Linked DNA regions of Ovis aries. The protein of the gene in region 1 interacts with the protein of each later gene in a biochemical or structural test. Links are inferred from orthologs where the notes say so. Each region holds a gene or a part of one and is shown in the gene's direction. Other genes may lie near its edges.

Evidence for each region.
Region 2: the proteins of CRK (region 1) and DOCK1 form a complex in vitro, tested with the Homo sapiens proteins (3 studies listed by BioGRID and IntAct, with this or other methods). The link is inferred for Ovis aries from reciprocal best matches to the Homo sapiens genes CRK and DOCK1.

What each region holds. Positions count from the first base shown.
Region 1 is NC_056064.1:22,477,619-22,482,099, reverse strand, and holds the start of CRK (adapter molecule crk), read left to right. Parts: upstream 1-1,458; 5' UTR 1,459-1,613; coding exon 1,614-1,854; intron 1,855-4,481. UniProt on the Homo sapiens protein: Involved in cell branching and adhesion mediated by BCAR1-CRK-RAPGEF1 signaling and activation of RAP1.
Region 2 is NC_056075.1:45,934,375-45,938,186, forward strand, and holds part of DOCK1 (dedicator of cytokinesis protein 1), read left to right. Parts: coding exon 1-72; intron 73-3,482; coding exon 3,483-3,618; intron 3,619-3,812. UniProt on the Homo sapiens protein: Involved in cytoskeletal rearrangements required for phagocytosis of apoptotic cells and cell motility. Along with DOCK1, mediates CRK/CRKL regulation of epithelial and endothelial cell spreading and migration on type IV collagen.

The sequences.
Region 1 (4,481 bases):
TCAGAGTCTTTTCCAGTGAGTCAACTCTTCGCATGAGGTGGCCAAAGTACTGGAGTTTCAGCTTCAGCATCATTTCAGCTTCATTGGTTAAATGGGACCAATCCATAAGGTTGTTGATAGGATTAAATGAAATGATCCATCTAAGGGCAGTTAGCACTATGCCTGGCAGGTACTATTTCCTGAATAAATGTTAGCTGTTATTACGAAATGATTATGGAGTGCCTCCTACAGTAGATGCTTGGCCTTTGAGGTCTACCATGGCATACAGACTTGTAAATGAAAGATTACGGTACAGTGGTTAAGAACCATAATAAAGATAATAAGGAAATAGGGCTGTACATACAGAGAGGGAGTGATGTGATGGTCAGGAAAGGGGAGACTTTTGTCACTGAGATCCCAAAAGGAGTGGAGGGGCATTCCAGAGAGAAGAAACACAAGGTTCATGTAGAGGTGGTGAAGATGAGACGGTGGCTTGGTTGTATGCTGTGAGGTAAATGGGGAGTTCTAACACCTGGAGGTTGTTAAAAGTTTTATACAGAATAGCAGCTGACTCAGAGCTATAATTGAGAAAGTGCAAACTGGCAGATGTGTGCTATACAATTAAGGGCAGCAAGACTATAGAACACCAGTGAGCAGGCTGTCACAGGAATACAAAAATAGATATGGGATGTAAAGGTATAAATGGTCCTGACAGCAGGGAGAGCCGAGGCTACCCATGGCCACAGTTAGAGTTTAGAGAGTCTGGGTAGGTGTCTTGAGAGCCTAAACAGAGGGAACTCCATACTTCCACCTGGCTTGGCACACTCTGTCCCCTTTGTCTTGAATGCTCTTCCCTGATTGCCATTCAATATTCAGTGCAAGCCCTCCTGGATTCCCCTACAGAATGGATTAGGGGGCTCTGTTATGTGTTCCTAAAGCCCCTTGCCCCTTCCCCATCGTATCACTTGGCACGCCTTCTTCAAAGACTGTTTCCTGGTTTCTCCCACTGGTCTGCGAATTCGGTGAGGGAAGGGCTCGCCCTTGATGACCTTTGCACCCTCGGGGCAAATGTGGTGTCAACTGTTTGCTGAATGAATCAGTGAAAACAAGAACTTCAGCAGGCGTGGGGAGAAGCTGGAGGAACCATCAGAAAAAGACAATCTCAGGAAACACAGGCCCTGGGGCCACATCACCTTTTCTGCTCTAATTCTGTACCCTAGTCGCTGCCTAGAAGCCTGGGCCTTCCAGTAACTTGAAACCTGGAGGAGCAAAGAACCGCGTCGCCAACAGCCTACTGGTAGCTGAAGCCCCGCCCCTCGGTCCTGGACTCCCCCTCACCCTCTGCAGTCCCAGTCCCAGCCAGGCGGCGACGCCCAAGAGGCCGCATGCGCAGTGCGCTCACGATCTGTCACTTGCCCTTCTCCCAATGGCGGGCGGTGGTTCCCTTCCCGGCATCCTCCCGGGGGCCAGGAGCACGTCATTTCCGGTGGGGAAGGCCCGCGGCCGCCGCCGCCATTTCGGGCGCTGCTGTGAGGCTGAGACCCGAGCCGGTCCGCTGGGCGGCGGGGGCCGGGGCTGGAGGGGCGCGCGCGGCGGCGGCGGCGGCGGCCCAGCGTGTAGGCACGGAGGTGGCCATGGCGGGCAACTTCGACTCGGAGGAGCGGAGTAGCTGGTACTGGGGGCGGCTGAGTCGGCAGGAGGCGGTGGCGCTGTTGCAGGGCCAGCGGCACGGGGTGTTCCTGGTGCGGGACTCGAGCACTAGCCCCGGGGACTATGTGCTCAGCGTCTCCGAGAACTCGCGCGTCTCCCACTACATCATCAACAGCAGCGGCCCGCGCCCGCCGGTGCCACCGTCGCCCGCCCAGCCTCCGCCCGGTGAGGGACGGACGGGACGGGAGGCCCGGGGCGGGGGTGAGGGCCGCGGAACTCCCCAGCCTGGCTGGCTGCGCCTCGAGAGCTGACCCCCACGAGGGACGTGGGCAGAGGGCTGGAGTGAGCGTGGCCGGGGCGCAGCTTCTGCCGGGGCTCGCTCCCACGGACCAGCGCGAGTGTGTGGGGGAGGAGGAGCCGCTGACCCAGGCCTCTGGGTGTGACTTGGGAGGACAGCCCAGGGGAAGGGGAACTGCCTCGGCCCCAGGGTGGGGCTAGCGCCCGAGCACAGCCGGGCAACGTGGGGACAAAGAGCTGAGAAGGATGTTGGCACTGCGGGGCATCACTTGGCAGCGGTGCCGGGAATGAATCCGATAATCCTACAAGTGGCTTTTTAGGCTTGAAACATTTCCTGCAGTGTTGGAAAGCCGGGTTTGGCCATACTCCCCTGGTGGCCTTTGGTAGGAAGTCACCACATACTGGCCGAGAGGGATGGAGACACCCTCAGGAAACCGGTCAGCTTTTTCCTTTCTTGGGCATTTTTCCAAAATACTTTTACCTTCCTCTTCCCCCGCGGAGGATGAAGGTGGTGAGCTAAGTGCCTTGGTTATAGAAGAAAAGCCTCTGTGACCAACCCTGAATAAGCTGATGTCCGGCTGACTGTGTCCAAGAGAGCTGAGCTTCCAGAGACTGTTCTCCACAATGAGGGGGGTTATAGTTTTCAAAGCAATCAGTGGAGGAAAGATTTTTATTTTTATATTTCAGGAAATAATTCAGAAATAAGCCAGTGGAAACAGTCCCTTCCCTGAAAGTGAATGGAAGTTCATTTTTCCCTGGACTCGAACGTTATCAGTCTTGTTTGTCCTCCAGGGCCTCTCCTTGTTCAGTAAGTTGAGGGCTGTGGCTTGAGTCTTCTAGATGTTGAAAACAGATCCCACTGAAGTGACTCTCTTGAAAGTTTAAATGATCTGCACTGGATCTTCCTTGCTAAAGGTTGAGATATGACAGTCACCCAGGCCACTGGAGTTGTTAAGGGGATTTGTGCACTTGGTACTTGAGATTTGTGGTATACAGAGTAATTCTGAGGTTACAGTTATCTGTGTAACAGTACGGAGAGTCTTAGTGCCACCTCGCTGTTCCAGGTGGAAGCAGTTTAATCCTGACCACGTGAGACTAGATTCAGGCCAATCTCACCTGAATTAAGAGACTCCGGAACCAGCCTTTGCAGACTTGCTCTTTTAGGAGAGTCCTAATTTAGGGTTATTCTCTCTGACCAGAAATGAAATGGGATAATCTCTTGTTAACACATACCAATTAAAAAAGCGTAGGGATCATAAAGCTTACAAATTATTCTAGGTCTTTCTCAGCCTGGTTGGTTTAATAGCATTATAACATGAGGTGGGAATGTGTTTACTCTAAACCAAACATTTTCTACTTTTTACCACCTTCATGATGTCTGGGTTTTTGCATTACTGTGCAGTGACATGATGGCAGACAGTCACTGAAACTCAAGTTCCCAACCTTCTGTGTGTTTTGTTGGTTGAAAAATTTGGAAATAGCAGCAGGGGCTTTGCTGGTGGCTCAGATGGTAAAGAATCTGCCTGCAGTGCAGGAGAACCCAGGTTCAGTCCCTGGGTGGGGAAGATCCCTGGGAGAAGGAAATGGCAAACCAGTCCAGTATTCTTGCCTGGAGAATCCCATGGACTGAGGAGCCTGGCGGACTACAGTCCATGGGGTTGCAAAAGAGTTGGATGCGACCTAACACACAGCTTTGTTTGAGCTTTCCCCACGTCTTGGTGTTAATAACTTTAATCTCAGCTGTTACCTTAATGTTGAGCTCCACCTTTTCGTTAACAGATATGAATTCAGATCTTTGGCCCCAGAGAGAAGGTGAGGATTGCCAGAGTTTGTGGCTGGGGTGTGGAAAGTTCATGGGCATTGTGGTCCTTTTTGTTTCTGCCGTGTACCCTATTTTCTGCATAGGACAGTTGATTCAGTTGCTATCTTTGTAAAGATTACTTAATCTTTGTTCTCCCCCTCCCCCCATGAAGCTCTTTTCTTTTGAAGCCACACAGAAGAATTTCTTGAATTTTAGAGAGGCATATACAGTATTAATAGCTGCCATTTATTGACTGGTTATTCTGTGCCAGGCACTTTGCTGAGTACATTATATGCCTTGTCTCATTTACTGTCTATAACAGTCCAGTGAGGAAAGTACTATGACCTCCACTTATTAAACTATTTCCGTTTTATAGATGAGGAAACAGAGTCAGAGATACCGTAAAGTGCCGCAAAGTCACGCAGCTTGTAAGCAACTGAGCCAGAATTGCACCTAGGAATTGTGGCCTGAGAGCTGACACTGTTATACTGCACTGCTTTCTGTCAAAGCCAGTTTACTTTTGAGATCCCAGTAGTGCACTTTGAAGCCTCAACACTTGCGTCTGTTCTGGGCCCCAGGTTCTGTTTATAGACTGAAAGGAGGGACTTCCACGCTTCCACTGTAGGGGGCATGGATTTGATCCCTGGTTGGGGAACTGAGATCCTGCATGCCGCGTGGCATGGCCTAGATAAAGACCAAAGGAAAGGGTGACAGGAGACTGGCTTCAGCGCTCAGGCAGTATGCAGCTGCTATC
Region 2 (3,812 bases), on another chromosome or scaffold:
TGGAACTCTGCCGCAGGATGAGCTCAAGGAATTGAAGAAGAAGGTCACTGCCAAAATTGATTATGGAAACAGGTTTGTTTGTTCAAAAGATGATTTCATGCTTACGTTAACTGATATAATGGCATCACCGTAAGCCTTTAGGAGACTAACATCCTATCTTACGACAAACAAAATTTCTAACATCAGTATAATGGCACAGTTTTCTTTCTTAAAAGCATGAGGTGTTTTCTATTGGATCCAGAGTTTTCTGAGTCATTGTTAAAACATACTCTCTTCAAGAAGATGGGGTAACCTGTCCCCATCACAGCAATTCCCCCGACAGGGCCTTTTCCTTTCTGCTGACAGCATTCGACCCTGAGTCCAGATGTGAGGGTACTTTGTGCAGTAATAGGCATCAGGTCTCTTTCTGTGGAATCCCACATCCTGAAAGTGGGAAGAGACCTCAAAGGGCACCTGAAAACTTGTCACCAGTGTAGGGATCCGGCAAATAGAAATAAAGCCAGCAAGTCTCTTTTTCTTTTCTCTGTTATCCTGTGTCTGGTTGAACTTGCTCCTCGCCCTGTCTTCTCACAAGACTTTCAGGATCGGGTGATGCCTGGCTAAGACACAGAAGCAGAGTGGTCTCACTCCCCAGTGGATTCGAATGAAAACTGGTGGTAAGATCAGGTAGAACTCCAAAAGAAGACCTTGGAGGAGATGCAAGCTGAGTTTATAAGGAGCCTCCCGTTTGAGGTGGCACACACGTTTGTGCTGTGTCCAGGTCACTGGCATCTTACCATGTCACTCTGAGAGCATCACTGCTGTCTGAACAGCCAAGCACGTTTTATCGGGAAGGTGATTTTTCTGTGTGTAAGGTTTTCTGCACCAGTGCTTTGGATTAGGGCTTTTGTGAGAGCTTCTGGGGAAAAAAAATCCAGCCCCCTAAATTTGTACTTCTGATATAAAGATCATATAATTGTTCTACAGGAGCAGGTCTCATGCAAAAGCTCCCTCTTACAGCAGGGCACCACCCAGCTCTGCTTCAATGCTGTGAGCTGTGGTGCGCTCGCCCACCCATCGCGGTGCATGCTCTGGTGTTGGCACTCTTTCCTGCAGCACAGCCATCTCAGGCCTTCCAGGTTCCGTAACCAGAAGGAGGCTACACCCTTTCCTACTGGATAGCTATTTGTTCGTATAATGCCAGAGCTGCAAGAAGCCTTAAAAAGTATGTGGTCACAAGGTTCCCAGATGCTGGTCTATATCAGTCACTTGGAAAAGTTTCAGAATACAGAATACTGGGATCCACTCCTTAAGATCTTGATTTGTCACGTCTGGAATGCTTACTGGAAATCCCTGTCTGTAAAAATAGACTTGGACCATGATGGCTGGCACATTGGGAAGCTAGTGGTTCAGTCCAACCCCCTCATTTTACATGTTAGAGTATAAAGCTCAGAAAATAGGACAGCTTTGCCCTGAGCCATTCAACCCAAGGAAGCCCTGGAAAAACTAAAGAAGGCATTTTGTATAATCAGAATTATAACAATTCTGCTTTCTGGTAATTCAAACTTTCAAGTGTGAAAAGTTTCTAAAAGCTACATTATTAGTAAGATGTATTGTTTGGATTAACTACAGGAGAAGGTCTCCCTTCGCCCCCGCAGAAACCTAGAGGCTGCTGGGTATAGGATATTAGATGTTGTTGCAGTGAAACTCATTTCAAGACCACCTGCTTGAAAACTAAACTCCTGGAGCTTTGATTTTATTTTCTGTTGGAGTATCATGTTTTGAACTTACGTCCAGAAACCACCTGCTTGATTTGGCTGTGGGAAGCTACCAAAATACATTATGTCATGGAATAATCTCGTTAGGAAAGGAAGTATTTCCAAACGTGATTTATTACTTGGGTAGGAAATGCAGTCCTTAACAAGACAGACTTTTGTCCAAGGAACTCAAATCCACCGTACGTAAATACAGTGCAGTGGTCCAGCACAACTCACAAAACTAAACCTGCTTGACGTGTTACCAGACTCATCCACACAGAGCTTTAAGGCGTGTGGCCTTCACAGAAGAGAGGTAGGAGATGAGTTCGTCTAAGTGGAGGCTTTTTTGCAACGTCCGTTTGTCAACTCTTAGACTTGTAACTGTTAAAAGACATTCTCTAATTGAATTTATCTTAATTTCAAAAGATGTTTTCTTTTGTCTTATGGTTAAAAAAAAAAATTTGCTACTGAGAGTTGGACCATAAAGAAGACTGCACACTGAAGAGTTGATGCCTTTGAACTGTGGCTCTGGAGAAGGCTCTGAGTCCCCTGGACAGCAAGGAGATCAAACCAGTCTATCCTAAAGGAACTCAACCCTAAATGTTTACTGGAAGGACTGATGCTGAAGACCACCTGATGTGAACAGCTGACTCGTTGGAAAAGACCCTGATGCTGGGAAAGATTGAGGGCAGGAGGGGAAGGGAGCAACAGAGGATGAGGTGGTTGGATGGCATCACCAACTCAATGGACACGAGTTTGAGCAAACTCTGGGAGATAGTGAAGGACAGGGAAGCCTGGTGCACTGTAGTCCATGTGGTCACAAAGAGTCAGACATGACTTAGCAACTGAACAACAACACACTTTTAATAAAAAGAAAAGTCCCAAAGGCAAAGTAACAGGCATCTGTGGTTAAGATCCTCGTGTCTTATTGAAAGCTAACCAGAACACACCGCTGGTAGTAAACCTCTTCGTTTCTTACTTTATATAGTCGCCTTTGTTTATTCTTTAAATAAAATCCTGGTAAAAACCACCTAACAGGAAACGGAGAGACTGTTGCCAAAAAACATTTCCAGATATAGGATGGACAGATTTATTAGCCAGATGCTGCCTGTGTTTTAAGTTGGCTACTACATTTAGCCATCTGGCCAGGAAGATTCTTAACATTGCTGTGGATGACTTCCATATGTTCCATGTTGAAACAGTAGAACGTCTTTATTGAAAATCTTCTGATAGGCTAATTAAGGGATTAGAACTGCGATTCTAGGTAGAAGGAAAGTAGTGCCATGGAACCTACCAGAGAGAGTGGTGAGTATGCCTCGGTTCCAGCGTTTCCTCCCTCCCACCTCTCCCCGACCTCCAGCTGTGTATATAGTTGGGCATATGGGTGTGCATGGGGCCGTGTATACATACCCACAAATTTATATGCACACACACACCCAGTATGTGCATAGCGTGTGTGCACTTAACTGACCGTACTGATCATGTAGTAGTTAGCGACATACCTTTCATTTGGGCTTTCTAGATCTGTGAGTAAAAGTCACAAGAGCAATGGAAGTAAGATTTTTTTTTTTTTCTCAATTCCAAGGGCATACAAAGAAAGTTCAAATGACAGCGACCTCACAGAACTATGTTTTCTGATACTGTGAGAGTGACTCTGACTTTTGATTTCATCTTGCTCAGTTTCTTTTGCTGAATGAATGGATGACTGAAGTTTGTGGGTGAAGTTTTGAATTCTTCTTGTTCTAGAATCCTCGATTTGGACTTGGTGGTGAGAGATGAAGATGGGAACATTCTGGATCCAGAACTAACTAGCACAATCAGTCTTTTCAGAGCTCATGAAGTAGCTTCCAAACAAGTGGAGGAAAGATTGCAAGAAGAAAAAGTAAGTTCAGTTCTCTGTAATACGCCGTTCACACCCAGGGTACATTTCCTCAGTAACAATTTACAACATTAGTGAAACATCACCAGTGAGACCCCAGGACTGCATTAGCTGCACCGTGAAAAGGCTCAGCTGCGGCATGTATTTCGGACAGTGATGGATGGAATGGGGCCCAGCGTCTAGACATGCTGTGGATG